Linked DNA regions of Oryzias latipes. The protein of the gene in region 5 interacts with the protein of the main gene of each other region in a biochemical or structural test. Links are inferred from orthologs where the notes say so. Each region holds a gene or a part of one and is shown on either strand. Other genes may lie near its edges.

Evidence for each region.
Region 1: of the proteins of ikbkb (region 5) and putative transcription factor p65 homolog, one has a biochemical effect on the other in vitro, tested with the Homo sapiens proteins (4 studies listed by BioGRID and IntAct). The link is inferred for Oryzias latipes from reciprocal best matches to the Homo sapiens genes IKBKB and RELA.
Region 2: of the proteins of ikbkb (region 5) and tnfaip3, one has a biochemical effect on the other in vitro, tested with the Homo sapiens proteins (2 studies listed by BioGRID and IntAct). The link is inferred for Oryzias latipes from reciprocal best matches to the Homo sapiens genes IKBKB and TNFAIP3.
Region 3: of the proteins of ikbkb (region 5) and cops5, one has a biochemical effect on the other in vitro, tested with the Homo sapiens proteins (2 studies listed by BioGRID). The link is inferred for Oryzias latipes from reciprocal best matches to the Homo sapiens genes IKBKB and COPS5.
Region 4: of the proteins of ikbkb (region 5) and map3k7, one has a biochemical effect on the other in vitro, tested with the Homo sapiens proteins (5 studies listed by BioGRID). The link is inferred for Oryzias latipes from reciprocal best matches to the Homo sapiens genes IKBKB and MAP3K7.
Region 6: of the proteins of ikbkb (region 5) and nfkb1, one has a biochemical effect on the other in vitro, tested with the Homo sapiens proteins (4 studies listed by BioGRID and IntAct). The link is inferred for Oryzias latipes from reciprocal best matches to the Homo sapiens genes IKBKB and NFKB1.

What each region holds. Positions count from the first base shown.
Region 1 is NC_019876.2:27,210,423-27,215,171, forward strand, and holds part of putative transcription factor p65 homolog, read left to right. Parts: intron 1-2,640; coding exon 2,641-2,786; intron 2,787-4,749. UniProt on the Homo sapiens protein: NF-kappa-B is a pleiotropic transcription factor present in almost all cell types and is the endpoint of a series of signal transduction events that are initiated by a vast array of stimuli related to many biological processes such as inflammation, immunity, differentiation, cell growth, tumorigenesis and apoptosis.
Region 2 is NC_019873.2:16,684,007-16,689,402, forward strand, and holds the start of tnfaip3 (tumor necrosis factor alpha-induced protein 3), read left to right. Parts: upstream 1-2,180; 5' UTR 2,181-2,520; intron 2,521-3,633; 5' UTR 3,634-3,725; coding exon 3,726-4,029; intron 4,030-5,396. UniProt on the Homo sapiens protein: Ubiquitin-editing enzyme that contains both ubiquitin ligase and deubiquitinase activities.
Region 3 is NC_019878.2:17,008,515-17,013,965, forward strand, and holds the start of cops5 (COP9 signalosome complex subunit 5), read left to right. Parts: upstream 1-1,725; 5' UTR 1,726-1,874; coding exon 1,875-2,011; intron 2,012-2,091; coding exon 2,092-2,326; intron 2,327-2,886; coding exon 2,887-3,015; intron 3,016-3,391; coding exon 3,392-3,457; intron 3,458-3,687; coding exon 3,688-3,773; intron 3,774-3,919; coding exon 3,920-4,031; intron 4,032-4,701; coding exon 4,702-4,850; intron 4,851-5,451. Other genes in the region: cspp1 (centrosome and spindle pole-associated protein 1), read right to left, coding at 1-86, 205-306, 392-472, 595-654. UniProt on the Homo sapiens protein: Probable protease subunit of the COP9 signalosome complex (CSN), a complex involved in various cellular and developmental processes.
Region 4 is NC_019882.2:20,574,073-20,578,760, forward strand, and holds the end of map3k7 (mitogen-activated protein kinase kinase kinase 7), read right to left. Parts: intron 2,454-4,688; coding exon 2,273-2,453; 3' UTR 1,383-2,272; downstream 1-1,382. UniProt on the Homo sapiens protein: Serine/threonine kinase which acts as an essential component of the MAP kinase signal transduction pathway. Plays an important role in the cascades of cellular responses evoked by changes in the environment.
Region 5 is NC_019867.2:6,216,159-6,220,907, forward strand, and holds part of ikbkb (inhibitor of nuclear factor kappa-B kinase subunit beta), read left to right. Parts: intron 1-2,158; coding exon 2,159-2,282; intron 2,283-2,369; coding exon 2,370-2,521; intron 2,522-3,385; coding exon 3,386-3,447; intron 3,448-3,521; coding exon 3,522-3,622; intron 3,623-3,697; coding exon 3,698-3,747; intron 3,748-3,890; coding exon 3,891-3,990; intron 3,991-4,295; coding exon 4,296-4,443; intron 4,444-4,560; coding exon 4,561-4,658; intron 4,659-4,749.
Region 6 is NC_019868.2:30,853,710-30,858,458, forward strand, and holds part of nfkb1 (nuclear factor NF-kappa-B p105 subunit), read left to right. Parts: intron 1-500; coding exon 501-652; intron 653-718; coding exon 719-882; intron 883-1,227; coding exon 1,228-1,386; intron 1,387-4,072; coding exon 4,073-4,177; intron 4,178-4,375; coding exon 4,376-4,467; intron 4,468-4,587; coding exon 4,588-4,726; intron 4,727-4,749.

The DNA.
Region 1 (4,749 bases), on a different chromosome or scaffold from region 5:
TTCAAGAGCGACGTTGAGTGAAAATCCAAGTCCTATTACCTGTCACACACCTAGGTGTGTGAAATTTGTTCTCCACATTTGACCCATCCCCTGGGGGAGCGCTGAGCCACGCTCGGTTTAACCCCGCGACCCAACCCCTTAATGCTGAGTGTCCAGCAGGGACATATTTATTTAGAGTCTTTGGTATGACTTGACCTGGATTTGAACTCACGACGTAACAGTGACGGGGCAGACACTCCACCACAAGGCCACTGAGCTTACGGGTAGATACAGGCTGTCTGTGGGCAAAAAAAATGGTCATACCTGTACAGTCCAGGCGGGTGGTCTGAAGGAAAAGTGGAGATAGTAGCTCGCTTGGTGAGACGCAGGAATGTTGTACAGACTTTTCTTTTTCATCAAAACGGCACTAACGTTAGTGCTAAGTGGACGGCTCCATGTGTGACAGAAATGAGGACATCAGAGTGTAGTTTGTGTGGACGTCCTACAGCACTTGGGTGTCACGTGCACGCCCCATACGTGCACTCATTGAGGAGGCAGAAAGCGTGGGTTACTAAAAACCAGAAATGCGGGCTTCTGGAAAACCAGACAGCAGCATCACTAGTTCGGTTTTGCTAAAAACTGCAAAATCATAATTAAAGAGACCAATGGGAATCCAAAGATGATCGGAGTGGGAGTATAAAAAACAAAAGCTGTTTAGGATGTTCAACCACAGAGAACATGCTTCTTTCTGGTCATCAAGTCAGTTCTGCTGTTTGACTCTTTTGGAAAGGGCTAAATGTAGGGGTAGGGAGAAGACGGAGGGGCAGGGGAAGAATTGGGATTGGTCCTTGGTCTGTTAGAAAGCACAACAGAGTCGTCTGAACATAAAGCAAAAACGTAAGGAATTTGGACAAAAAAACATGAATGGAGTGAAGCTGTAGTTTGTTTCCTGGTTAATGGATATGTTGGTTTTAGCCAAAAATCTAAAAAACCTGTGTCGTTCTCTAGGACATAGTTTCAGCAGAGCGGCAGAAGTTCATAAGAAATTCAGCTCTGAGTTGCGGCTGGGACCGTCCATAGTAAATTGTCCATAGGTGTGAGTGTGAGAGTGAATGGATGTGTGATTGAGGATATTCCACCCTGCGACAGACTGGCGACCAGTCCAGGGCATCCCTTGCCTACACCCAAGTGGCTGGGATAGGCTCCGGCAACCCCGTGACCCCAAAAGGGAATAAACGGTTAAGAAGATGAATGAATGAATGAGCCACTATGGCTGCATTGCCCAGAGTCAGATGGAGAAGATGCAGAAAAATCTGTGTGACCCACTGCAGATCAAGAACGCCGGAAAGGACTTTTGGGTTTGCATCCAAATGCGTCACAGTCCATGAAGGCAGTTTCCCAAAAGGAGGAACTTCAGATTCACTACTCTGCAAGATTTGATTCACAATCCACACACGACTAACATTTCTAATCCAGTTTCCATTTTGTTTGGTTATAAAACTCTTGGAAGGGGACAGTAGTGGTCTCCGCGACGATCGAAACCTCCAAACTGATGGAGCGGCTGCAGCAAATCCCCGGATAAACCGCTGACATCTCAGTCCAGGAAAGCGCAGTTGTAGCTGCGCAGGACCCTCAAGCTCCCAGGTGTCTGGTAGAGGACCCCAGCTTGGGGTTAGAAATCCCCCCTAGGAGGTTGGGAGGAGATCTTATATTCAATAGATAATGTTTGCAAACTAAACAAAAAGAGATTTTACAATATTAGAATTGTCAGTCCCTTCAAAATCTTTTTTTTTTTCTTTCCCCATCACAGAAACTGAATCACATCAAGATAAAAATCAACAAATATATTTTGAGAATCAAAGTCAGGAAATGTCCCTTTATCTCATTTTGGTTTACACTCTGAACTTCAGCGGGTCAAACTGACCCCGTCTACATTCTTAGATGTGTTGAGCTGCTGCCATGCGGTTGGAGCATTTCCACCTATTTTCTCCCCTCTTTTAAATATTGGATTCTACCGGAGGGGCGGGTGCAGATAGGAACCGTTTCTGTCTGTGTTTGTGCAGAACATCTTTAAAGACCCACTTTGGTGAAAATTGTGTTTTTGGTGTTTTTCACATATGCTTAAAATGAGATAATTATAAAATAATAAAATAAGCTTAAAAATGCATTTCTGAGTATTTCTTTATTCAACTTGTTGTGAATCAGGAGCAGATGAAAAAATTGTGTTTGAAAAAGAACTTATGAGCTTTGCTCCACGCTCTGAGCAATGGGGAGGGGGAGGGGAGCGGGGTTGGTACAGCAGTCCCGCCCACAACACAATATCCTCCTGCAGAAACTATGTCCTAGAAAACAACAGGGGCTTCTAGTTGTCCCGTCATTAAAGGACCACTTGGAACGACTTTACAAGAGATGAAAAGATTATCAGAGTGGGACTTTGTTTTTAATAGGTGTGCAAGATATTTTTTTTTTCCAGTAGGTAAATCATAAAAGTTCAGGATCTCTGACTGAACGCTTGATTGGATGGTTGATGCTGTTATATGATAAACCTGCGGCTGGAATCCTCTACCTTAATGTAAATGCATGTCGTCCATCAGCCCGTCTGCTTAAAGGCTCTGAGCTGTGTGATGAGGATGTCATTACAGCTGTGTGTTCTTTCGTCAGGTGAATAATTACAACGGTCCGCTGAGAGTTCGCATCTCCCTGGTGACCAAAAACACACCGCACAAGCCCCACCCCCATGAACTGGTTGGAAAAGACTGCAAGCATGGCTACTACGAGGCAGACCTGCAGGAGAGGAGAATACACAGGTGAGGGCGGGTTACACCCGAGTCCCCACTGCACCACCCGAGACACCCAGAGGGTCATGACCTTTGTACAGGTCACTGGAAACAGAATGTTCATGTGAATGACAAAGATTTGTTTCAAACATAAAGACAGGAAGGACCTCCAGAGGAAAACAAGCATCATCACAAATAACATATTTTCCGGACTATAAGTCACCCTTTTTTTCATAGTTTGGCAAGGGGTGCGACTTATACTCCGCAGCGACTTATATTAGAACTAAATTGAAATAAATACATTGTTAACCCTCCTGTTATGTTCATTTGTGAGGAACAGAGATGATGTTCCCGGGTCAATTTGATGTATGAGGTATGTTAAGTGTTAAGAATATGTTAAGTGACTCAGAGAATCAGCAAACCTGTTTTACAGTAAGATCTTGAAGGCTAACAACATAATATTCTATTTTCCAATGATTTCATAGATTCAGAAATGCAATAAAAATGACAACTGTTTCTACAAATACAGGATGAAAACAGAGTATTAGTTGGCCAATGATGCTTCATGAAAGGAATAAATAAACAAGTATGAGAAAGAATTACTGTGAAATTATGAGATAAACAGTCTGCTATGATTGTGTCATATGAGGTTGTTCAAGTTATTAGTTCTTGGTCTCAGATTTTGTCAAATAAATTTCCCGTCAAAATGCGACTTATAGTCCAGTGCGACTTATCTGTGTTTTTTTCTACTTTATATGCATTTTTGGGCTGGTGCGACTTATACTCCGCAGCGACTTATAGTCCGGAAAATACGGTATACATTTTTGATCATGATGTAGGTGTAAAAATGAGGCACAGCTTTAAAAAAATGGACGAAAACTGATCATGAAAACAGTATGGATTCATCAAATCCATCCATTTTCCAATCCCACTTGTTCCAGTTCAGGGTCATGGCGTTGCTGGAGCCTATCCAAGCTACTGCTGGGTGTGGGTGGGGTGCACCCTGCATGGTTTGCTAGTAACCATCGATTCCTATTATGATAAGTGGTTGACGATACGATTCAGAGTCGATATTTGTTCATTTTGAACGATTCGATTCACTAAACCTAAAGATGGATCCAGGACATCTTTAGCCAAAAGTTCAACCAGTGAGACTCAGAGAGAAATTCCTGCTACTTAACAGTTTTCCAGATTCTTGTATTTCTTCCAGATCATCAAGTGTAAATGAAATATGTGTCCAAACAAACAAGTAAACAAGAATGAATGTCAAATCCATTCACATTTTGGTTTCCTAAAGTTCAGCCCACTGTTGTTTTTCCACATCCAAAGAATCCAAAGGGAACATTCTTAGAACATTATAGACACTGGATGGTCATATGACTTTATTCAAAGTCTTTCCACACAGGTTTTGCTGACATCACGTGTGTGTTGTCCGCCGTGATGGTCGTTTTCACGATATAGTAAACTAAACGTACTGTAACTCAATCTAAATGGTCCAGGATTGATTGTAGATATATTCATTTCATTTTGAAACCATTCTATAATGGTCTCGGTCGTTTCGATCAACAACTTGCCTCAGACAGATCGATCTGGTTGGACTGTAAGAATTTAAATCGATTCATTGATTAAGTGGATCAGTGGTTACACCCCTATTTGTTAGTCTATCACGAGGACCACATAGAGAACTACACACACTCGCATCTAAAGGACAATTCAGTCAACAGTTAAAGGGTCTATATCTTGCTTTTCTTAATAGAATTAACTTTCAGAAAAAGATATTTCCATATATGATAATATATTACCTTTAAAACACTAAAGAAAGATTTTCTTTGAGATACAATTTCTTTTCGCTGCTAATTTTCCAACCCAGAAGTAAGACGACTCGATCTCTGAGGCTCCGCCTTTCTCTCCTTGTGGGTGCCGCCCATTTCATGACATCATCCTAGAGTCGGCCTCAGCAGCGTGTCTGCGTTTCGCCCCGAAAAAAAACCCA
Region 2 (5,396 bases), on a different chromosome or scaffold from region 5:
GCTTTATATTAGTACGTTTACACTCCACCTTCCTCGTTACTTATATGCAAACCTTATAGAGAGGCTGTGATTTGAAAACACAGTTGTTTGGTTTAGCAAAAAAACATTTTTTAATGATTTACTGATTCCTTATCAAAAAAGTAGGAAATTACTGTTTTGTGACAATAAATATCAAAATATTGTTAATTTTCCAATCAAAATTGAGAGAACTGTTTTGCAACCACTAAGTCAAAAGGCAAAGTTCCTTTTTCAGCATATCTGACCACACCAGACAGGTGACTTTTTATTTTATTTATTTTTTTGCATTGCAGCAGGTCAGTTGTCTTTGAGGGGGTTTCCACGTGTGACTCAGCTAGTTTTCTTTCATTGCTTCCACAACCAGCCAGTCCAGTTTGTGACCCAACCATGATGAACTTTAAAAAAAATGTTTTTGGAAAGTTCAGTCATTTGAGTTAAAAATAGCAACTACAGCATTAGCATGTGAAAGGTTTGCTACATATTTTGTTTGTGTGTGTATCCATGGGCTCAACAAATACTCACAGCAAGGCGTTAGTGTCTTAAAGTGACTGTTCATTGCTAGACACTATTTGTCACCTCTTAAGCAACTGAGCAGTAAAAGATAAGGCCTGTAACTCTGTCCTCATGCCTCATACCTCACACCTATGTGTCAGGTGATTTTAAGTTTCTGTTCCCTGCTCAAGAGGGATGTTGAAGTGTAGTTTCCAGAGTTTGGGTAAACACAACCCAGAAGTAGGAGCATTTCCAAAGGGAAGAGAAAGGAGAGTGGAAAGTGAGGGGCATCTCAGTACAGTTTTATAAGCTTTGCTCAGGTAAACAGGACCCAAAGCTTCATCTGTATATTTCTCCACAGTGGAGATCATAACTTTTACACCTGTTCCCACAGGTAAGTAAAATCCAAGATGTTGTATTTTTTTCAATTTGTGTTAATTTTCTTCTTTTGTATGGTAGTTTACCCATGTCTCTAATCTAGTTGTTGAATAATTAACAACTTAAAATACATTGTTTTGTAAAGACTTTATTTTGTTTGCATTTTTTTACATGATGTGTCATATAAATACTATCTTGTACTGGATTTGATTTAAAGTTGGGTTTTCTGCTTTAAGACATCAGCAAGAATGAATAAAAAAATTAATTTTCTTGTGGGGCTGTTTGATATTTCACAAACCCTGCAGACAATAGCAGAGAATCTTCTTGCACAATAAATACAGGGTGAATCATGTGCAACATCAGCAAACTCTGCTTGAGAGCTGGAGCAAAGTTTAACCGCTCCTACTTGGGTTGACCACATTGAGACGGTTGGTGTGCTCCACCACGCAGCTGATGCCCTAGCCATTGAGAGCTTGACAATCTCCACAAACGACAGGTGTGACATTTGGTTCAGGGATGTGTAGACTCTGAGGTTGCAGCATGTTTTTTTTAAGCTGCAAGTAAGCATATTTTGCTGGCATCTTTTTCTAAATTTGTGTATAAATCCAAATTTAAGGTCAAATAAGAAACATATAGGTTAAAAAAAGGAAAAATGTGCAAAAAATTGAGGTGAAGGAAAAATAAAATAAAATAAAGTTATACAACCAGCCAATTAAGTGGGAAAAAAACACATTCTTGTGCAGACCGTGGTGCTAAGAGTTGTTGGAGCAAAATACCTCAAAAAACAAAAATATTGAGGTGGTGCGTAGGACACACTCATGATTAGATGTTTTGTTTATTGCACTAACTGGTTACATTCTTGCAGCTTTGTATTTATTAGGATCTTGTGTTTGGTCTCTTATGTGCACAAAATAAAATGAATATGATTTAAATTGTGCATAAAACTTTTTTTTAAAAGGAGAAAACTGAATATATTTTTAAGTTACTACTGCATGACAGCAGGAGTAACGTTTTTGCTTCTAAAGCGGCAAAAGAATAGAAAAACATAATTTCCAAACAGTTGAAACAGTCTCACGTCATCACTGAAAGACTATTTTATGCTCAACTCGTGAGAAAGGGGACATCTGCTTCTCAGAATGTGTTTTTTGTTCCGTTTCCTGGCTTTTTAACTTGGAGAGGTCTGACTGAGGGGTAATGATTTATTTCATGAAATCGAGGATGACGCGACCTGTCTGTCTACCTCAGTGACGCTTCTTTGTGCTCAGTAGGTGGGATATGTTTCACGGTACTGAGTCAGACAGTGGAGCCCCTCCTAGCGGCAAAGTGCCGCAAGTGCACGTTTTTTTTTACAGAGAGGGAAATGGGTGGACGGAAAGTCCCTGTGTGGAAATCCCCCTAACTTCTTCTTTTTCTTTTTTTTCCTTTTTTAAAAACTAGTGTTAGTGGACGCCTGTAGTCTTTCGAAAGGCTTCGCGAGCATCAAAGGTTCCGAAATAGATCTGATAGGCTGTTGGAGGAAACAGAAGGGTGAATGGCGCCGAAGACTGCTGCGGTGAGGCTGAGTAAAGTGGCTGAGAGAGGACTTGCTTGAGCATCCGGGAGGCTTTGTTGTTACCCCGACATATTGCACAGGTAAGACGCCAGCCCCAACTCCTCCTTCTGCCTCCACATGTAGGCATTTCTGCACAATTCCGGGAGATTAAGCGGCTGAATCCCCGCTCGGGCCTCGAGGAAATGTACGGTCGTGGTTGTGGGGACATGGAGGAAGCGTGAAGCCTGCTCACGACAGCGGCGTTGACAGCCATTGTTTACAAAGACGTCACCGTGAAGCGGCTGGGCGACGCTTCCGCGCCACCGAATGCGCCGTCGGTGCCGCTGGCAGCGGCTTCTTGTCGGTCTGGAACGGCACATTGTTTCCATTGGAGTTGTCGTTGTAATTACGTAAGCCTCGAACGTCAGCGAAGTCTGCCGCGACCGTGCGGGCGCCGCTCTCCCGCACCGCTCATGCCGAGACGACCCGCGGGTCCACGGGCTCCCTGACGTCCAGCCCAGACACAGCAGCACGGCACCGCGGTCACCGGCGCTCCTGCACGGCCTTCCCTGCTGTTGCACCTGCTGCTGTTGAAGCCTGACATTCATTTGTCAACTTACTGGTTTCACTATCAGCTCAGAACTTCATGAATAGGCTGGGAAAGTTCTCATTTTAGCCCAAACTGCTCAACTAGACCCTCTGTACCACCTTCACGTGACTTTTGAGCTCTAATTTTTTACAACAATCTCTAATAAACTTTATTTGAATGTATAAAGTACAGAAAAAAACGTTTTAACAAATATTGAGTCCTGGCAATCTTTTAAATACACGTTTGACGCAAGCTAACAGCTGGTAAGGTGTTGACAGGAGGGGAAAGCCTGTCTCGTGACCTTCCCAGAAGCCCTAGCGATATTGGGTGGCCTGCAGTGTAACTCTGGAAAACACCAGTCTTTTGTTGGAAAGCTTTGAGATCAATGAAAAACCAGTCAAAGTGAAAAACACAGTATTAGAACACACCAGGAGATAAAGGTTTCTTTGTACGTAAGTTCGACCCTTTTGGAGAATCACCTAACTTGATCCACAAAGGAACCCTTTACTGTGATTGGTGGTTTCCTGAGGAAAATTAAATACTAGGTGAAATCTAGGTTTGGAGCCTGTGATGTTGTTTAGGGTTGTAAGATCACTTATTTTGTTTTACCTCTCTGTGTCTCTAGCCTGCAAGTTGCTGGGTCATCGTCGGCTGGTGCTTCCTCCTCCTCTCCTCACTCCTTTTCCTCCCCTCCACCCATTCTCCTGGCCATCCGTCATGTCGCAGGGCCAGAACTTCCTCCCCAAATTCCTGTTTGTCTCTAACCTGCTGAAGGCGGTGAAGATCCGCCAGCGAGTGCCCAATGATGTGGTGAAGCCTTCCACCAGCGGCCTCATGCATCACCTGCGCGGAATGCACCGCTACACGCTAGAGATGATCGCCATGAACCACTTTCCTCAGGCCTTCAGGGAGGTAGTTCAAGCCGCCATCTTGGACCGAGCCATGCAGGCCTCGTTAGAGCAGGAGAAGAAGCTCAACTGGTGTCGGGAGTTGAAGAAGATGGTACCTTTACGCACCAACGGTAAGAAATGCTACTTCCGAGAAGAAATTTTGGGCAGTATGTTTAGGCAAAGATCCACAAAGTTGGTTGGATTTTTGAAAACACAAACCCTGTGGTCCTTTGTTAGTTCAAAACTTTTTTGTGTCAATTTTAGAAACAACAGATGTCATCCCCCCACAGAGGCGTTAACTTTTGTTTCATTTTCTATGTCAGAGAAGGTTTGTGTTCATGAGATAGGAGGATCTGATATGCACATTCTGAGATGTCATTACTCACAAGAGGGGTTACTGTAAATGACATCAACCGAGGTGCATGGGTTCCACTTTCACACCGGCTCCTTTGGGTCATGTTTTCTGTTACGTAGGAGCTGTAATGTGGGAACATCCCGAGGCAGACAAACATTTACTTTGGGGCCTTGACGCATTGTACTTGGAAATTCATCACGCTGCACTATTGTTTACGGTCAGCAATGAGTGTTTCCATTTTTTAAAAGTTGAGGGGTTTATCCCCTGCTTTTTCTGTGGGTGTGTGCAAGTGGGGGTGTCTCTGTGAGGGGTGTGAAGGTCAATGAATCTTTTTAAAATGCCTCCACGCCCCATGTTTCCATCCAGTCTCTGTCACATGTTTCACCCCCCTTGTCAGACTGCGGTCACTCAAATGTGACTGAATACAAATTTTCTGCTGGGAGGCATTGCTTTCTGCCTCACATATAACCTGAAGATGTCTGTTGTGACAGTCTGATGTGATGTAAGGTTTAAAAAGACATATATTTACTGGTATAATCACAGTTAATGCACACAACAAAAGGAGGAAATGGAAAATGAATTGGTTAATTTTTCTTCACAATGTGAAGTTTCCAAGGGAAATAGTTCTGTTTCATGTCAGGGGTTTCTTGATGTATTCCATCTCAAAGTGTAGCTTCAATTGTTTTTGGATGCATGAGGAACTTGCAGGATGTGTCATGCATCGCAGTATATGCAAACAGTGAAGTTCAGTATTAACTAAGCAACTTCCTGTAACTCATCAATACTTAGTTCCTCTCCAAAAAGACCCCTGAATTGATGACAAACTCCTTTGAATTCCTGTGCCAGTAAGCAGCATGGAATTTCCTGGCCTGCAAATATGATGTCATAAAGGAGAGACCGAATTCAGATCTGGATCGTCTGACTCTGAAGGACCCAGACGTGACTTTGAGCAGGGGACATGTATCACACACACGTATAATAACCACACACACACACACATCTATATCTATCTATCTATATATATAGTTTTATTTATATTTTTATATATATATATATATATATATATATATATATATATTATATATATATATATATATATATATATATATTATATATATATATATATATATATATATATATATA
Region 3 (5,451 bases), on a different chromosome or scaffold from region 5:
CTGTCTGTGTTTGTGTTGGGTTTAATCAAGAGGTGATGATTTTCACCAGTTGAGTTCACAACCTTGGATGGTTGACTTTCTTCAGGCTGAAAGAAATAATATTAAATAGAGCTACCACAGCTATACAGCACAAATAACAAGACCAATTTCTTTATCAGGTAACCTGTATATTGGGAAAAATATCTTTGTTAGCTTGGATTTTACCTTAAAGGTGACAGGAAGGACTCTCCTATTTAATTTCCTTATTTGAGCTTGCTCCTGAAGAAATTGATTATATTCCTTTTTCAGCTCGTCTCTCAGTCTTTTCTGTTGCAAAAAAACCCCAAAATAAATAAATAAAAGGTATGAACAAGGCAATATAAAAAAAAAAATAGTGCACACAAGGACACACCTTTATGGATGCTCTATCATCAATAGGTAAGGAAAGCCCTTGGTGTTGTGGATGAGGTTCACAGGTTTTTAAATCGTGTTCCTTAAAAGGTACATGTAAGAATAAAAAATAGAAAAATAAGTTGGCAGAATGGAGAATCAGAGGTAACACAGTCAACAAAAATTCTCTTTAAATGATCCTATAATAATCGTATGATATCTGACCTTGGCTGCATGATATTTGAAGTCCAGCCGCAGATCCAGAAGAGGTTTCTGTTCCTCCATTTCACGCTCTGATACTAAGCCTCAGTTAAAACCTAGAGAGAGAGAAAAACATAGCAAATAAATAGCCAGTATAATTGGACTGATTGAAAATTAAAACTACCACAAATACTTCATCTTGTTTATGATAAGCTATATGGTTCCATATTTTGTGGATGCTAGAGTTTTACAAAATGCACATCACCTGCAAATGATGAAAAACATTCATACAGAAAGTTAGTTGTCCAAGGTCAGATTCAAGAACTTTCTCAGCATACAGGTGCATGCAAATTGAAAGTTAGGTGTTTTCCATTATAAACTCAAACAGCACAACCTGGCAGTGAACAAAGCTATAAAAATGAAACCTTAGATGAAACTCTAACTCTAAAGGATACATACTTAATTAATTAGACATTTTTATGACTATTCTGAATGTTTTCGCCGCACTAAAATGGCAACGCAGCAAGCGTTGCTATGGGCAACCGTGACACAAAGGTTGGCACAGGCTAAAGAAGTTAGCAAACACGAAACCACAAAAAACTCCGTATATCTAAAGTTTATGTGGTAATCATACAAACTTAATCGCATTTCAATAAAAATATCTTTGAAAATCCTAAACGTGCTTTCTAAGCTTTATAAGATGACAAACACGAAGTAACATTGATGTTTTACCTTTACTCTTGACCAATGACGTTCGCTAATGTGTTTTTTCGAGAAGTTTTTTTTTTTGCAGCATTAATAACTGTTATCTCCCATTAGGGTCTTTATTAGATATACAATGCATTAAATAAAAAACAAAGTTCTAAAAACAGGATAAAAAATATTCTCAAACCTGTCTGCTTTTTACAAGTCTCACCGCTAGATGCCAGTGCATCCTCAAGTGTCTGCTGACGTCTCTTTTGGACTAAACCATTATCAGAGGGGTGACAGTACCAGAATTGATGGGTACATTTAGCAGAACTTTTAACTCTTACATAAATTGTATTGATTTTTTCAATATATTATTAATGATCCATTTTAATACATAAAGATACGAAACTTCGACTTTTGTATTTTTCCAAATCAACAAAGAAAGGTTCAATCTTTCGACGTCATTGTTTTGGTATCGTTCCCTGTCATGGCTGCCGTTGCAAGAGAACGTCTGGCCCTGTTACTTTAGACGGATATACACAATTTCTTTGTTTGTGTTGTTGTCACTGACGTTCGAAACGCTTATTCTTCGTATTTTGAATTGACACTTTATCATGGCTGGAAGTAGTACAGCTCAGAAAACGTGGGAGCTGTCGAACAGCATGCAGGAAGTCCAGAGCATCGATGAAATTTACAAATACGACAAAAAACAACAACAAGAAATCCTCGCGGCGAAGCCGTGGACAAAAGAGTACTTTCAACCTGATTGACTTCATTCCTATTTGTTGTGTCGCGTAAACTAATTGTGTTTTCTTTTTCTCAAATCATTAGTCACCACTACTTCAAGTACTGCAAAATCTCCGCGTTGGCCCTGCTGAAGATGGTGATGCATGCCAGGTCAGGGGGGAACCTGGAGGTGATGGGTCTCATGCTGGGGAAGGTGGACGGGGAGACCATGATCATCATGGACAGCTTCGCTTTGCCTGTGGAGGGAACAGAAACCAGGGTGAACGCGCAGGCTGCAGCATACGAATACATGGCTGCCTACATTGAAAACGCCAAACAGGTGGGATCATGTTATTTTATTGTAAAAACATACACCAACACTGAAATGACACAGCAGCAATTACTTCTTCTTGACAGATTACACAGTTCCTGGTGGAATTGTTGAAAAACTGTCTCTTATTAAGATTTATTAGTCATAGGTTCTGTGTTCAGTATGTCAATATGTCTATTGAAGTGTTCTAATCTTTTATTTAGTTTCTATTGTCGTTATGACTGTTCTTCTTTTTTTTTTTTTGGTGGGCTACAGGTAGCCGGAATAAGTCCAGCCTGGATTTTCTTGAGTTGCTGTCCCGCTGTTTCCAGTTATCTTTGGGGATAGCAGAGCATTTATAATATTCATTTTTTTGTTTTTAAAAGCTTAAAAATAACTTCTATCCCCGACTGACCTATTGAAGTCTGTCTATTTCCTTTCATAAATAGTTTCCGTATTTTTTAGAAACTAAGCAAGCCACGTCAGATTTAGTAAAACCTTTTCATTGTATTAAACAATAAACACTTTATAATATTGTATTATAAATAATTATGAATAATTTTGTTATATTTATCTTTTTAACCCCCCAGGTTGGCCGTTTGGAGAATGCCATTGGCTGGTACCACAGTCACCCGGGTTACGGATGCTGGCTGTCAGGGATCGACGTGAGCACTCAGATGCTCAACCAGCAGTTTCAGGAGCCTTTTGTTGCTGTTGTTGTACGTATAAACTTTTATAACGTTATTTTAATGTAATTTCCTGCTAGTGGAATTTTTAAAAAATGAGGAGGAAAGTTCCTGTTTCGTCTTTAAAAAAAAAACATTACAAGAACGTAAATGAAAATCTATTAATGCATTCACTGCATGTTTTGGCATTGCACTACTGACTATTTTCCTTTTGCAACCCCATATGCTATTTACACGTCCTTTAGTTCAGCAGGGCTTCGACGCCAGGGGCGTCGTATAATTAAGTGTGTGTTTTTTTCACACTGACAGCTGCGGGAAAAAGGCTCCTAGTGAACTGATTCCAGTGGTCTCTGGAGGATTCCGACCTTTGACTTTGTTTTCCTGTTTTACTGTATCTTGTGTCCTACAGATCGACCCCACTCGGACTATTTCTGCAGGGAAAGTCAATCTAGGTGCCTTCAGAACATACCCAAAGGTACAGCAAAGACCAAGAGAAACATGGTGTTATGACTTATTGAAGTCATAAATTAAATTTTAAGTTCGAATCGTTGATGTTAGTTTTTTTAGGAGGGATCTGAATAAATATTTGTCATAAATATACATCAGAATGTCTTAATTTGTTTACTTGTTAATGATTAAACAAATGTGCTAATTCTTTTTTTTTATTTTGTATTATTTTTTAACATTTTCCTTGTGGATTTTCAGGGTTACAAACCTCCAGATGAAGGACCATCAGAATATCAAACAATCCCGCTGAACAAGATAGAAGACTTTGGTGTTCATTGTAAACAGTGAGTAAATTTAAAGCACTAAACCACTCTTAATAAATCAATCAATCAAACTTTATTTATCAAAACTTTATGTATCAAAGATGCATATATTTAACATGCTCCTGAATTATCTTTTTTTTCAACTCTTTATGATTGTCTCTATTCAGATATTACGCCTTGGAGGTGACTTACTTCAAGTCTTCTCTGGATCGAAAGCTCCTGGAACTCCTTTGGAACAAATATTGGGTCAATACCTTAAGTTCCTCCAGCCTTCTTACGGTATGTAAGCCACCTCAAAACTCAAAATGTTCACTAATTGTTTGACATTTTGATTTATGGTTAATTATTACTCTATAACTCATTCAGACATGGAGTCAACATGTTGTGATGTGTTGATTTATTGCTGCTTTTTAGCTGGCCCTGCTTGTTTATTGTTTTTAGTAATAAGGTCTTTGTGAACTTTGGAGCAGAAGAAGATGATGGGTATTAAAGTTGGACTTGACTCCACTCATCCAGAAGCCCCCCGCCCCTCGAGCACAGTTTTTTCTAAAGACTGAAAGGCCGTCACATGAATTTGCATTGTGGTCCTGAGCTGGGTTAAATAGACACCAGGCTTATCTAAACAGTTCACTCGCTGGCATTCTGGATGAAGATGTATTGACTAGATGTCAAGAAGGAGCTGCTCAGTAGGTGACGGGCTTTGTCAGTTGCTACACTGTCACCCTAGTCAGGCCCCCCCCATGGCATTGTGTTTTAATTACCTGCTCTACTATAAACACAGCCTCACCTTAAGCAAACTTCTCCATGACTTCTTTTCCTTCGGGACAGCTCAGAGATGGTTCGATTTGTGGCTAGTCTGTAACAAGTTCTTTCTATGGAACACTCTGTTATCTGGCTTTTGTGTGATAAGTGTGCGTACATTGGTTTATTCTGTCTCTTGGACGGCCAGAACTCGGACTACACCACGGGTCAGGTGTTTGACCTGTCGGAGAAACTGGAGCAGTCGGAGGCTCAGCTGGGCAGAGGAAGCTTCATGCTCGGGTTGGACACGCATGACAGGAAGTCAGAGGACAAACTGGCCAAAGCTACTCGAGACAGGTAAGCCTTTAAATTTGTTGCTTTCCTTTTTTTACTGCAGATTATACATATTATGGTAAACATTAGGTGGCCTATAAATGAACTTGGCATTGCATTTTTGTTTATGTAATCACTACAAATAGCTTTTAGCACCCATGAAGTGTCTATTTCCTTTGTTGTTTATAGTAAATTTAAATATAAAGTATTTGCGCTATTGTTCAAAGCAATTATTATTATTATTATTTTCACCCATCCCTTATATGTTTTAATTGGGGTCATAAAAGAAAAAAGGTAATGCAGTAATGGTGTTTTTTAAAAAGTCAAAGCTAATGAAAATGTTTAAAGAGACATAATGGCAGAAAAGGGCCTTGAGACAAAGCTGGACACGAGTGTTCTCAATGTGGAGCAACAAGAAAAACTTAATATATGAGAGTCAATCCTGAAGTAGAAGTTTTGGTTGGAGGCTTTTTAAGGGAAATTCTCCACCAGCTGACGTTTAAAAGTTTTCCTGCAGATTTCATCTCGAAGTTAAACCCTCCAGAGAGGAAGGAATCCGTGATGCAGAGTAAAACAACCTCGGAATACCTTCCTTTGTATAAAACCATCAACTATTTCATTGTGT
Region 4 (4,688 bases), on a different chromosome or scaffold from region 5:
CTCACCTGAGCACAGGTGTTAGCTCACCTTTGCACTAATAGTTTGCATGATTGAATGAATGAAAGATTTCACACTAGTTGGTTTAAAGGCATAGGTATGCGTTCGTGAACACTATCTGTTTTGTGTGCATGTTGACATGTGGACATTTTTGCGGCTAGCAGGTGTGTTGATAATATTTGAGTGTGTGTGAACAGGCCCCGCCCTTTTTGTACTACATTTGAACCGTACCGTAACGATAAACAACCAGTAAACCTGTCTGCTCTATGCTGCTTCATGGTCTTACCCCCCTTCCCCTCCTATTATCACCCTCCTACCCCCCCCTCTCTCTAACGTCCCTCTCTCTTCTTCCCCTCTTTCCTTTTCCGTCCGGTCCAACACCAAAGATTTTCAAACATGATTGAAATTAATAAAGTTTGGCCTCAATTACAAAAGGGGTTTATTCAGACATACCTTTGGTTTGTCTGAAGATGAATAACCCCTCTTGTTAAAATAAAATATGTCCAACACAAGAGGCCCTCAGCTCTCATCTGTTTGCCTAGCTGTTGGACAGGACAAGTTAAAAAAAAAAAATAAATAAATAAAACAATAAAAAAAAAACATTTTGAACAATGATGCAAAAACTGCAGCTGGAGTTTTATGACTTGCTGCCGTTTCAAAGATTTGGGCACTAAAAGGTTAAACCGAAGAAAATCAGAGCAAAGGATTTCAGATTTAGAAGACCCGACCAAAAGTCTCCACTGTTGTAACCTGATAGTTCTGTCATAGTGTCAGACTCAGTAGCACTGCCACCTATTGTCCGATCCCTACTCAACCGCTGGAGGCCAATCACAGCCTTTCCTGCATCATCTGCTGGTTTTGGGGATGCACCTCTGTTCTCTTGACACGCTGTGAGGCCCCTCCCACCTCATTTGCATAGCATTTTAAAGAAAAGTTAGCAGAATTGAACAGCCATCTATATTCTGAAAAGGAATTCCAACAACTGACTAAGGAGATTTGTGGGACTGTCAGGAATGTTCAACATTTCTTATTTTGCCTTGAAAATTTTCTGGTTTATCTCTATTAGCCACAGCTTTCCTTCTATTTGCTGTTGCTCTTTTGGTTGTTGTTGCTTGTAGGTTTTGTCATTTTTCTATACATCCTTTGTGTTTAGCACCTTGTGGACTAAGGCCTGTTGATGAGAAGAGCTCTACAAACACAGGGATTGAAGAATTAAGTGATGAAACATCCTTTTCCACCGACCAACAGCTGTTAAAGGTTTAGGACTCCCACATGGTGGCGCTAGTCTTCCTACATAGTTGTCATCTTTGCACGTGTGCAGAACATTTCACTTCTCTATTGCTGAGGACATGTGGAGGATCAAGACAAAAGGCCAAACTTCAGCGTTCATGAAGCAGAAACAGCTTTTGAATCAGCAAAAATGTACAGAACTGGGCTTTACAGTGCAGCTGAGCAGAGCTTGAATGCACCTCTATGCTGCTTTTATTCACACTAAACACACCAGGATCACATCTTGTAATGCAAAGAACCACACGTCTGATCCCAGCATCCAGGTCACGTCCAGAAGATGGGGGCGGGGCCAACAGCTGGGGGATGCAGCGTCTTTGGCTCAGACCGAACCCTGTCTGAACCTGAAACATTCACGCGGTGTGGGAGCAGCAGGACATTCACCCCACAGGTGAGCCTCGGCTGCAGTCAGTCCGCACCTCCATCGCCTACGATGCGCTCGCAGGCGGAGGAGCGCCAACGCCAGGTCACCAACCGGGCCGTACAGTCCAGACTCCTCAAGTTTTCTTTTAAAACCAAAAAGTTTAAATAGCAATAAAAGTCGTCTAAACGTAGTAACTGTGCAAAAACAACAGAGTTGGATCTAAAGCTGGTGAGAAACATGATGATCATCTAAAAGAATGTCGTCACCTCCGTCGGGTATGAAGAAGGAAAGTCTCCGTAGCTCCTCTGTCAGACATGATCCGACCTGAACTTCAGCCGACCGCTAAGGCAACATGTGAACTAAAAGGAGAGCTGAGCAGATCCTCCAGCAGATTCAGGGATAAAACATCTACACACAAAAATCTACAGGGCGGTTAAACCAGGAGGGGCTGTGAGGATGGTGGGGAACTGGTTTTCATGTGAACTTCACGTCCCAGAGAGGCTGTGAGGAAGTGCAAACTCCTTTGAGAAGTCTTCCTGGAGGGGCTCTGGATGGAGCCAGGCCGGGGGGGGGGGGTAGTGTTGAGAGTGCAGGGGGGAGGGGAGTGGGCGTGTCTCCGTTTCATCAGGAAGTGCCCTGCCTCTTCTGCTGCTGCACCCGGATCAGCTCCAGCTGCTTCTTGCACTTCTGGTAGTAGGTGGACAGACTCTTGTTCTCCTCCAGCAGCTTCTTGTGCTCCTGCACCAGACGGGACGTGTTCTGCTGGTCCTTCTCGTCTTGGTCCAGTTCAGCGATGAGCTCCTTCCTGCTCAAGACACAAACAAACCGCCATGAGACTTCCTGAGACTTTGGAAAGTCCCCTTTTCTTCTGAATAAAAACTCTGTAGGGGATCCGCCGTCGGCTGGATGAAGCTCGTCTGCTGGACTTTAAATGTGTAGTTGTAGATTTAGATAAGTAAATTCTTCTCTTTGAGTTCTGGTAAATCGCCTGTCCGTCCTGGGGGAGGATCCCTCCTTCATGTGGACACCCCTGAGGTTTCTTCGTTTTTCCGGAATCCGGTTTTTTGGGAGTTTTTCCTTACCGCGAAGGGGGGTCTAAGGGCAGGGATGCCAGTATAGTTTAGTCAGTTTGTTAGTTCATTTTAGTATTTTGCTATTGAACTCTTTGTATTCGTGATCCTTTTGAGTTCATGTTTCACTTAAGCCCATCGAGACGACTGTTGTTGTGATTTTGGGCTATACAAATAAAATTGAATTGAATTGAATTGAATCGGAGGACTTCATCCACCAAATCAGTGGCCCCCAAATCCAGACCGTGAGGGCCGGTGTCCTGCTGGTTTTCCAGAAACCCTGCCTTATTTGCTGCTGACTACCTTGATACCTTGTTTAGCCAATATGGAGCTTCAATGGCAGGTTGGTTAGAAAACATGTAGGAGAGGTCTGGATTTGGGGACCCCTGCACTAAATGCTTAAAGCTCTGGACACACCAGGCATGTGAAAATGTGGGTTTTCACATTGGACAAGCAGGGAGGGGCTTCTTCTTTATCGTTTTCTCTTTTTTTTACTAACACTTGTCCACCACCTACAGTTGGAAGAGGCTTGATGTGGAATGTAGAAGCGGAGCAAATGTCCTGACTCTTCCTCCAGGCTTTTTCTTTCACAGCTCTATTCCAATATATGAAAGATTTGGCTTAGTTTCACTCCAGCAAATATTAATTTATCCTCCATGATCAATTTTTAAACTGAAAATTCAAGAAACTGAAAAGTCCCCATACATAGGTTACTACCACGTCTGACAAATTCAACCTAGTTTAGTTTTCAGCGCTTGTTCAATGGCCACGTGTTTTGTATGATGAGCCCAAAACCGGTCGTAGAAACATTTGAGCTGCGTGCAAATGCACAAGTTTTGAACGCAGAACGCAGAAACGCACATTTCCATAGATTTTTCATGAACATAGTTTAAGACCTATGGTTGAGATAATAATCAAAGTAACTTGTTACAAATGTTCTTGTTTCATATCTCCTTCTAAATATTTGTAGGATTCAGGGCTCCAGACTGCGAGCAATTGGTCGCATTTTGCGACCAAAATTTGAGAGTGTGCGACTAAATTTTACATCCAGTCGCACATGTGCGAGCAGTAAATTTGCCTCCCCCACCCTTCGTATTTTTTTATACATTAAACGTGGAAGGGGCACGTCAATGATCTATGAAATAATCAATGAGACGCGAGCGCACACGCACGCAGGCAGGCACACACACTCGCGCACATACTCATGAAACGCAAGCACGAACACTCTCGCGTGATGCCTGTGTGTTAGGCGGCCACTGCGTCTGAGAAGAATAGGAAAAGTCACTGTGAGTGGCTAAAATGCGTGTAGGGGGAGGGGCCTAGAGCTGACCAACCAATCACAGTGGGGTATATGACTCTTGGGGGCGTGGCAATGACAGGGTTTTGCAAGCAGGAAACCTGACAGCCCCCTCCCCGGACCACATTAAGGAGTTCTTTACTTTCCTTTCTAGAACGTATCTATTCGCTCGTAATTTTCTAAATACATGCAGTCCGTGCTGAACTTTTCTCTGGGTCACACAGATCCGGAGGAAGGTTTAGGTTTTGGTTACGGTTACGGCGGCGCATCATACGGGTTACGGCAGCACACCGCTCCCGTCCCGCGGGAGTCGGGTCAGCTGAGGAGAATAAATGCCCCCGACGTACATGCGTGACAGCTAACGGGGCTTGAACTTTAAACACGCTCGAGCAAAAACAACATTAGTTTTAGACACACTGAAAATACGTGGGGAAAATGCAACGATAGACGTGTTTGAGATGAACCAGCACCTCGCCTGGATCGTTGGGGAGACCAGGCGGGGGGGGGCTGTGAGATGAAAGCGAATCTGCAGCAAGACTGAAGGAGAACAGGAAATTGGAGCTGTCCTTAACATTCAATTTAGATTTAATATTCTTCTCCCCCTTAGTATGATCTGTGTTATTATATATTTTATGATTATTTGAATGTTTTGTAATGTATGTAGCCTTTTTTA
Region 5 (4,749 bases):
CTTCAAAGACCAGAATTGTTTTTACAATTCTTCTTTCTTATTGCACCTTTGGCTGAAAAAACTAAAAAAACTCACCAAAATTTGCACACAGTGCCCTACCTGGTGAAAATTAATTTGGCAAAGTGGATCCCAATGGTGACATCACGGCGGGAAAATCCGTCAAAAAAAGTAATGGGGAACATCTATTAATGGGTTAAAAAAAAAGTTTTAAATCTATTAATGAAATCAAACAACACGTGTTGAAGATTTCCAAAGGAAGTTTGGAAATTATTATAAGATGACCACCGGAGCCAGTGGCCATTTTCTTGCAAAGCGTGAAGTTTTCACACAATATTGGAAAAGAAAACTTTTGTTTGAATGACCTTCACAAAATTTCACATACACCGCCAGCTTTTAAGTCTACAACTAGTTTTGTTGACTTTTGACTTTTTGAATTAAAAAAAACAATTTACCACCAGCTACAAATTACACCTCCTTCTATCGCATCTTAACTCCTGGAGCATCATCGGGAAGCTATTTGGAAAAAAATGTTGCAGATTTTGAAGGCCATTAGCGCGGCAAGCTCCCAAAAATGGCGTTCCCCTGTTGCTCGCACATGTTTTTACCAGAATATTGTGAAAATGTAATGAAGGAGTCGTTATCTCAAACTGAACGCAACGATATACAATATGAGCATATTAGGATTGTGGGGTTGCTTAAGAAATAACCTCTGTCGCCAAAGAAATCCAAAAATTTACTTTTGCAGATTCTTCTAAAAATGGCATAGGCCTCAGGCGACAAAAAAATAAAATGGTTCCTATGGAAACCAATAGAACATTTAAAAAAAAGTTGTTTTCTTAATGAATTTGTCACATGAGGCTTTGACCAGTTTGGCAGAAATGGAGACTAAGGGGGCATGCTGCAACCGTTCAGCCAGTGAGGTGGGGTCAAGGGGGCGGCGAGGGAGGGTAGCGCCTGCGGACCATGCAATGTCCCTCGCACCTTTAACGTTAAAACATTCAAACTTCTTCCTTTTAATGTTTTTTTATAACGTTTTTTTAAGAAACTTTTAAGTCCAGTTTATGTTTTTCAATCAGAAAAGTGCTTTGGTGCAAACTTAGCAAGAAATTTCAAAACAGATATTTATCACTCCTGTGTTAGTGTCTCATCGTTAAATACATTTATAAATATGTCATGAAATGATTTTACTTAACACTTTTGAAGTATATGTTAAAAAAAATGTAAAGGGTTGATTTTATTTAGTTTCACCAGAATTATATCACTCCAAGAGATTTGGCACCAAGAAGTCCAGTGATTGCACTTTTAGGGGGAAAAAAATCATCTGGTCACTTAGTTAAACCTCCTTATTTTCATATGGGACTAAATATTTTCATTGAGTCAAGCCAGTTTAGCACCTGGACTCTTACACCCACTCTCACCACAGAGCCATGAAGCTGCACAGAAAACAAAACATGTGGTTTAGTTTGGAAGAGAGAAGTGGCTGATTTCAACCTGAAGTTATCCAAGTTCTTCCTCTCTTGTTTAGCTCTGACGGGGCAGTTTTCACAACTTACATAAGAAATGTGAAGTTTTGATAAACAGGCAAACGAAAAAGTATCTTAAAAGTCAATGTTGACCCATAAAAGCTGACTGGACATGTGTGGCGTTACCTTTCAGTTTGGGAACATTGCAGACGTCAAAAGAGCTTTTATTGTTTTAATAGATTGTTTTATTGAAATGTTGTTTTCATGATAAAACAGTTTTTAAAAAAGGCCAAAAGGCTGCATCCTCTCAATTTTTAGCAAAAGGGAAATATATTTAGCTTAAGGATGTGTAGGTATCATAGAAATACAATTTGTACACAGATTTGTGTTCATTTGTTAACTTCTAACTCTTGAATTTGTTATTAACTGATTATTTAATTGTTTCACAAAATGTCCAGAGTTGTCTTAGTTCTCACTCTGTAATGCCTATTTTTTTATTTTATTTTACAGACTAACATATAAAGGGGTCTACGTATTTTTAAACAATTATATTTTATAACCCTTTACCAACTTTTGTGTTTTTTAAGAGAAAAACGTTTTCATTACTATGGACCCTGCTGATAAATAAATGTTTATGGTGTGGATCTTTTTTTTTGTCCTTGACTCTCTTTGTTGACCTCTCATTTTTTCTGCAGAAATGGACCCCAAGCACGTCCTTCCTTACAGCCCTCTGAGGAGGACGTGTGGTCAGGCGTGGCACACCATCCGCTCCCTGAAGGAGGACTGGCAAAGGCTGCAGCAGGGCCAGAAAGCTGCCATGTGAGACACGCACGGACTCAAGTTTCATCCAAAAACTAGCTAAAGGTTGTTGTTTTTTTTATTAAAAAAGGTTTTTTTTTCTTCCAGCATGAGCCTGCTGAGACACAACTCCTCACTGTCCAAACAGAAGAATGAGATGGTTTCCATGCACCAAAGACTTACTGCCAAGTTGGAGTTCTTCACCACCAGCCTTCACATCGACATGGACAAATACCAGGAGCAGACAGCCACAGGGATTGGTATGTGTTCATTGGATGAAGTTTTAAACACCCACTGCGATCATCATTTGATCTATTTTCAAAGAGTTCCCAGTGGTCTTTTAATTAGGTTGATGCCGTTTTTAGCCCAAATCAAAAACCTGCGTTGTTTTCTAGGACATAGTTTCTGCAGAGTGGCAATAGTTTATTAGAAATTTGCCTCCGAGTTGTAGGTGGGGAGTAAGCCCTACGCAGATTTCCCATCATGCCTTTGCGGACATGCTCAGCCCCTCACAACCCCCACCTAACATTACCAGTGCAAGAAAAATGTCGAGAAATGTTGGGCAAAATCATGTTTTTGGTGTTTTCATCATGTTCCTTTGGCATTTTTCTCATGATGGAGGACATATATTAAGAAAATTGTCCTTAAAATGTCTTTTCTGAGTATTTCATTATCTAAATCATTGGAAATTAAGAGCAGACAAAAAAATGCCATTTGAAAAAACGTTTATTTGACATGTAAAATATATGGTGGGCAGGCCGAGCTCTCAGCAATAAATGGTTGCCATGTTTCATAAAAAAGGTTTTCTTGCTGTCTCAATAAAAATGTAATTTTTTCTAAATTTAGGTATTGCATTATGTTTCTTACCAAATGAAGATGTGTTGGGGGAAATTTGCTCAGAGGTAAATTTCTAATGAACTACTGCCACTCTGCAGAAACTATGTTTTACAGAATGGCTAAAAACGATAAAATCATTAAAAAAAAAAAAAAAAAACACTGGCAATGCTTTGAAAAGATGATCAGAGTGGGACTATAATAAGTTATATGTATGGTTTATATTTGTATTACCTGAAACAACTCGATCCAGGTGTTTCAGTTTTACTGCGACTTTCTATTTTTCACAGCGTCAGAGAAGCTTATGAGTGTGTGGAGGGAGATGGAGCAAACGGCTGTCAGCTGTGGTCAGGTAGGCCTGAGCGGACCACAATAAGCATGTCAAGCAAGTATTTCCATTCTTTAAAAAGCCAGTGTGGTCACCAGGCAAAAGTGTCTGAACTGGAGGACGAGATGATGCAGCTGCAGCCAGACATCGTTGATGTGCAGAGGCAGCCGTGGAGGTGTGGAGAGGCCTTGGATACGCTGTAAGTCTCAACCCGAGAGATGGAAAAATTTAAGGACCAGCTGGGCTTTGAGCCTCCTCTCTCTTTGATCCTCAGCGAAGGAAAAGCCATGGAGCTGTTCCGAAAACTCAGAGAAAAACCCAGAGGTTAGACCTTTTCCACGCATCACCTCGCGCCTTATTTAAACCCTGGTCGTGGTGAGAGCAAAATAGAACTCCTGTAATTTGTCTCGTTTTTTTTTTTCTTCCTTTTTTTTTTCCTCTCCTCCCGCTTTATTCCCTCTGCTCAGACCAGAGATGTGCAGGAGACGGTCAGGAGGTGATGCGTCTGGTCCTGCAGGCTGTGCAGGTCTACGAGAGGAAGCTCAAAGATTTCTATACACACCTCAGGTACCCAAAGACAGGATGTTGTTAAATTAAATCATGAATATGTGTAAAACAAGGTTTCAACATATGGAGCGTTGCATGTTTTGTTGTTGAGATTCAACTAATGGCCTCATTTATTCATTTTTTACGATTTAGTAATGACTGCTGGCCTCTAACTCGTATACCTTTGTATCCAGTGCATTTCAGTTAGAGATGGATAGATATAGATATACATATTTATAAATAATTGTACACAAATTTTTTTGATTTTAAAAATATGGCGTGATTTTTATGTTCTCTTTTGTCACCCGGCCCTGTGTGTTTCGCAGTAAGACTGCGGTGTGTCGCCAGCGTGTGATGGAGCTCCTACCAAAGGTGGAGGGCGTGGTCCAGAAGATGGCGGAGAGCGAACAGATCCTGATGAGCCTGCAGGAGAGGCGACAGAAGGAGCTGTGGAACCTGCTCAAAGTGGCCTGTGTGAGGACATGTGAACGCACAAAGACCTCAACATTAATGTCACGTATGCTTTGCCTAAAGGGCAAATGCACTTTGTGAAAAAACATGCAGTAAAATGCACCGTTGTTTATTGTGCAGAGCAAAGTCAGAAGCCCGGTCAGTGGGAGTCCTGATGGACTGCGTACTCCTTCATCGGTGCCGCCTCTTCTGACCCCCAGAGACAGCTTACAGCAGATGTAAGTCCATTTGAAGCTGGACATTCGAACACTTAAAGCAGTGGTCCCAGCCCCCAGGCAATAGATCGGTACCGGTTTGTTGGACAATTGG
Region 6 (4,749 bases), on a different chromosome or scaffold from region 5:
ACTAACTGCCCCAACCCCCCCTCCTCATAAAAGGATCTGAAACCGCTCAGACTTGGTTAGTTTATCATACTAACCTATAGAAGGCCCCTTGTCTTTAGTGCAGTCTCCACAGGTGCATTCCCACTCTGTCTGAGTTGTGTTTAAGAACTCAGAAAACCTTAGGAAGAAGAGATGAGTAGTGTTCTGATAAAAGACCTACCAGGTGCAGTGGACTGTGTTTTACCTTCTACTATGAAACATTGGGGAGAGTTTTCCCTCACTATTGAATTGAATTTTAACCTCAGGTTAAGTGGGAGCAGATTTCTTCGCCTTTCTGTGTGTGATGCTGTAATCTAGGGGTTTTCTATCATGGAAACATCTACAGTACTGTGGTTTTCTCTAAACTTTTTAGCGTCTTGTTAGCTCAGATGTCAGTATTGTTCATCATACAGGTGACCGTTTGGTCTTTTCCTCAGCTCTATTTTTGTCAGACATGACACTTTTAGTGTTCTGTGTTTCAGATCTTCAACTATCAGGGCCAGGCTCGGGTGGTGGTCCAGTTGGTGACGGCGCTGACCTCCAGCCCACAGCTTCACGCTCACAGTCTGGTGGGGAAACAGTGCGATAAAGGAATTTGCATCGCCGACCTGCAGTCCAAAGAAGCCACCATCAGGTGTGCGCCTTATGCCGTCGGCCTGAACGTGTTAAACCAATGACGCTCACGTATGTTTCCTGTTAGTTTTCCTAACCTGGGGATCCTCCATGTGACCAAGAAGAACGTGGCCAAGACTCTTGAGGAGAGAATGATTGAAGCGTTCAGGATGGGCTACAACTGCAGCATCTCCATCCATCCAGAGATCGACGCCGTGCAGGGGGAGGTCCGCGTCCCGCGAGAGCTCAGCGGTCAGTGAAGGTTTCGGGTCTACAGGTCCCACCTTTGATTCTCGTAACCCCTAAACAGAGCTCTTCTGTGAAGTAGCTGAACATTTAGTACAAATGGTGCAACGATGAACTAGATAAAACTGTTAATTAGTAAAAGTAGGTGACAATTAGTCCTGTGGGAAAGCTTAGATACTGCAGCATAAGTTCATTTTGAGCTAGAAGTTTTTGTAATTATGATCCTTGCTTACATGAAAAATTCTAAAAAAAAAAAGGATTTTCTCCTGAAATCTTTGTTGCAGTACGGCAGTAAGGTAAAACTACTCCTGTGATATTGCATTTTCATGGTTCCCATCTGTGTGTCCTCAGACCATCAGCGCTGTGTGATCAGCAGTGCAGCGGCCAGCCAGGCCAAGGAGATGGACCTCAGTGTGGTTCGCCTCATGTTTACGGCGTTCCTCCCCGACAGCGACGGGGGCTTTACCCGACGACTGGAACCTGTGGTGTCCGAGCCGATCTTTGACAGCAGTGAGTTTCAATCCACTCATCCGGAGCGAAGGGAGAGAGCGGGAATCTAACGATGTTTAGGGTCTGCTGGGTAGGGGGGGGGGCAGGGAGGAGCAGCAGGAGCTCCTTCACATGTCAGAATCTGAGGACAAGTTAGAGTCCTGGTTAGTCCTGGTTAGACCTGATTAGTCCTAGTCCTGGTTAGACCTGGTTAGTCCTGGTTAGACCTGGTTAGTCTTGGTTAGACCTGGTTAGTCCTGGTTAGTCCTGGTTAGTCCTGGTTAGACCTGGTTAGACCTGGTTAGTCCTGGTTAGACCTGTTTAGTCCTGGTTAGTCCTGGTTAGACCTGATTAGTCCTAGTCCTGGTTAGACCTGGTTAGTCCTGGTTAGACCTGATTAGTCCTAGTCCTGGTTAGACCTGGTTAGTCCTGGTTAGACCTGGTTAGTCTTGGTTAGACCTGGTTAGTCCTGGTTAGTCCTGGTTAGTCCTGGTTAGACCTGTTTAGTCCTGGTTAGTCCTGATTAGTCCTGGTTAGTCCTGGTTAGTCCTGGTTAGACCTGTTTAGTCCTGGTTAGTCCTGGTTAGACCTGATTAGTCCTAGTCCTGGTTAGACCTGGTTAGTCCTGGTTAGACCTGATTAGTCCTAGTCCTGGTTAGACCTGGTTAGTCCTGGTTAGACCTGGTTAGTCCTGGTTAGACCTGGTTAGTCTTGGTTAGTCCTGGTTAGTGCTGGTTAGACCTGGTTAGACCTGGTTAGTCCTGGTTAGACCTGGTTAGTCTTGGTTAGACCTGGTTAGTCCTGGTTAGACCTGGTTAGTCCTGTTTAGTCCAGGATAGACCTGGTTAGACCTGGTTAGTCCTGGTTAGTCCTGGTTAGTCCTGGTTAGACCTGATTAGTCCTGGTTAGACCTGATTAGTCCTGGTTAGACCTGGTTAGTCCTGGTTAGTCCTGGTTAGACCTGGTTAGTCCTGGTTAGACCTGATTAGTCCTAGTCCTGGTTAGACCTGGTTAGTCCTGGTTAGACCTGGTTAGTCCTGGTTAGACCTGGTTAGTCCTGGTTAGACCTGGTTAGTCCTGGTTAGACCTGGCTAGTCCTGGTTAGACCTGGTTAGTCCTGGTTAGACCTGGTTAGTCCTGGTTAGACCGGTTTAGTCCTGGTTAGTCCTGATTAGTCCTGGTTAGTCCTGGTTAGTCCTGGTTAGACCTGTTTAGTCCTGGTTAGTCCTGGTTAGACCTGATTAGTCCTAGTCCTGGTTAGACCTGGTTAGTCCTGGTTAGACCTGATTAGTCCTAGTCCTGGTTAGTCCTGATTAGTCCTGGTTAGACCTGGTTAGTCCTGGTTAGACCTGGTTAGTCTTGGTTAGACCTGGTTAGTCCTGGTTAGTGCTGTTTAGACCTGGTTAGACCTGGTTATTCCTGGTTAGTCCTGGTTAGACCTGGTTAGTCCTGGTTAGACCTGGTTAGTCTTGGTTAGACCTGGTTAGTCCTGGTTAGACCTGGTTAGTCCTGTTTAGTCCAGGTTAGACCTGGTTAGACCTGGTTAGTCCTGGTTAGACCTGGTTATTCCTGGTTAGTCCTGGTTAGACCTGGTTATTCCTGGTTAGTCCTGGTTAGTCCTGGTTAGACCTGGTTAGTCCTGGTTAGACCTGGCTAGTCCTGGTTAGTGCTGGTTAGACCTGGTTAGACCTGGTTATTCCTGGTTAGTCCTGGTTAGACCTGGTTATTCCTGGTTAGTCCTGGTTAGTCCTGGTTAGACCTGGTTAGTCCTGATTAGTCCTGGTTAGACCTGGTTAGTCCTGGTTAGACCTGGTTAGTCCTGGTTAGACCTGGTTAAACCTGGTTAGTCCTGGTTAGACCTGGTTAGTCCTGGTTAGACCTGGTTAGTCCTGGTTAGACCTGGTTAGTCCTGGTTAGACCTGGTTAGACCTGGTTAGTCCTGGTTAGTCCTGGTTAGACCTGGTTAGACCTGGTTATACCTGGTTAGTCCTGGTTAGTCCTGGTTAGTCTTGGTTTGGTTAGTCCTGGTTTGTCCTGGTTTGTCCTGGTTAGACCTGGTTAGTCCTGGTTAGACCTGGTTAGTCCTGGTTAGACCTGGTTAGTCCTGGTTAGTCCTGGTTAGACCTGGTTAGTCCTGGTTAGACCTGGTTAGTCCTGGTTAGTCCTGGTTAGACCTGGTTAGTCCTGGTTAGACCTGGTTAGTCCTGATTAGTCCTGGTTAGACCTGGTTAGTCCTGGTTAGACCTGGTTAGACCTGGTTAGTCCTGGTTAGACCTGGTTAGTCCTGGTTAGACCTGGTTAGACCTGGTTAGTCCTGGTTTGTCCTGGTTTGACCTGGTTAGTCCTGGTTAGACCTGGTTAGTCCTGGTTAGACCTGGTTAGTCCTGGGTATGGATGGCGCCCCCACATGAACATACGTTTTCAGCATTTCTGCCCAAATCAAAGCGTTTCCTGGAGTGACAGCTACCAGAGTGTGAACCAGGATAACCGAAGGTTTAATCTTCTGATTTTGGAGGAGACAGAACTGCATGCTGGGAAGGGAAGAAGCAGCTTTCTGTAAAGTTCAGCTGGTCCTCAATAACAACCTTAAACTTGAGTGAGATGATCGGCTAAGATCCCAGGAGGACCTTAATGAATATCATCCTGGGACCTTCATCGATAATGAAGAAAAAGCTGGACTTTCAGCGCCGCTTTGCTTCTCCCTCAGAGGCTCCAAACGCCTCCAACTTGAAGATCGTGAGGATGGATCGGACGGCTGGCTGTGTGACGGGGGGGGAGGAGGTCTACCTGCTCTGCGACAAAGTCCAGAAAGGTAAGAGACCATTCTCAACACGCAGGTGAAAAACTGAAAACTGCAGCTGGCGCGGAGGGTCATGTGACCGAGCAGAGCAGCTTTGCTGGATTGGTAAAGATTTGAATCCTCATGGACTTAACTGTGAGGAAGAGGAGGAGGGTTCCATCTGCAGATGAAGACCACTCTGAGCTCACAAACATCTGCATCCGTCTGCAGACGACATCCAGGTGAGGTTCTACGAGGAGGATGAGTCGGGAATGACCTGGGAGGCCCTAGGAGACTTCTCCCCCACAGACGTTCACCGGCAGGTCAGTACCAGCAGGTGGCGCTGCAGCCAACGCTTTTCTGATCCCTGCGTCTTCCTGCTCTGAACCGCGATGACCAACGCTCTGCTGCAGTGATGTTCTGTGTTGTTGTCATGGAAACAGTTCGCCATCGTATTTAAGACTCCAAAGTACCGGGACCTAAACCTGCAGAAGCCGACGTCTGTGTTTGTCCAGCTGAAGAGGAAGTCTGACAACGAGACCAGCGAGCCCAAACCATTCACCTACCACCCCCAGAACATAGGTACGGCATGTGGCTCCGCCCCC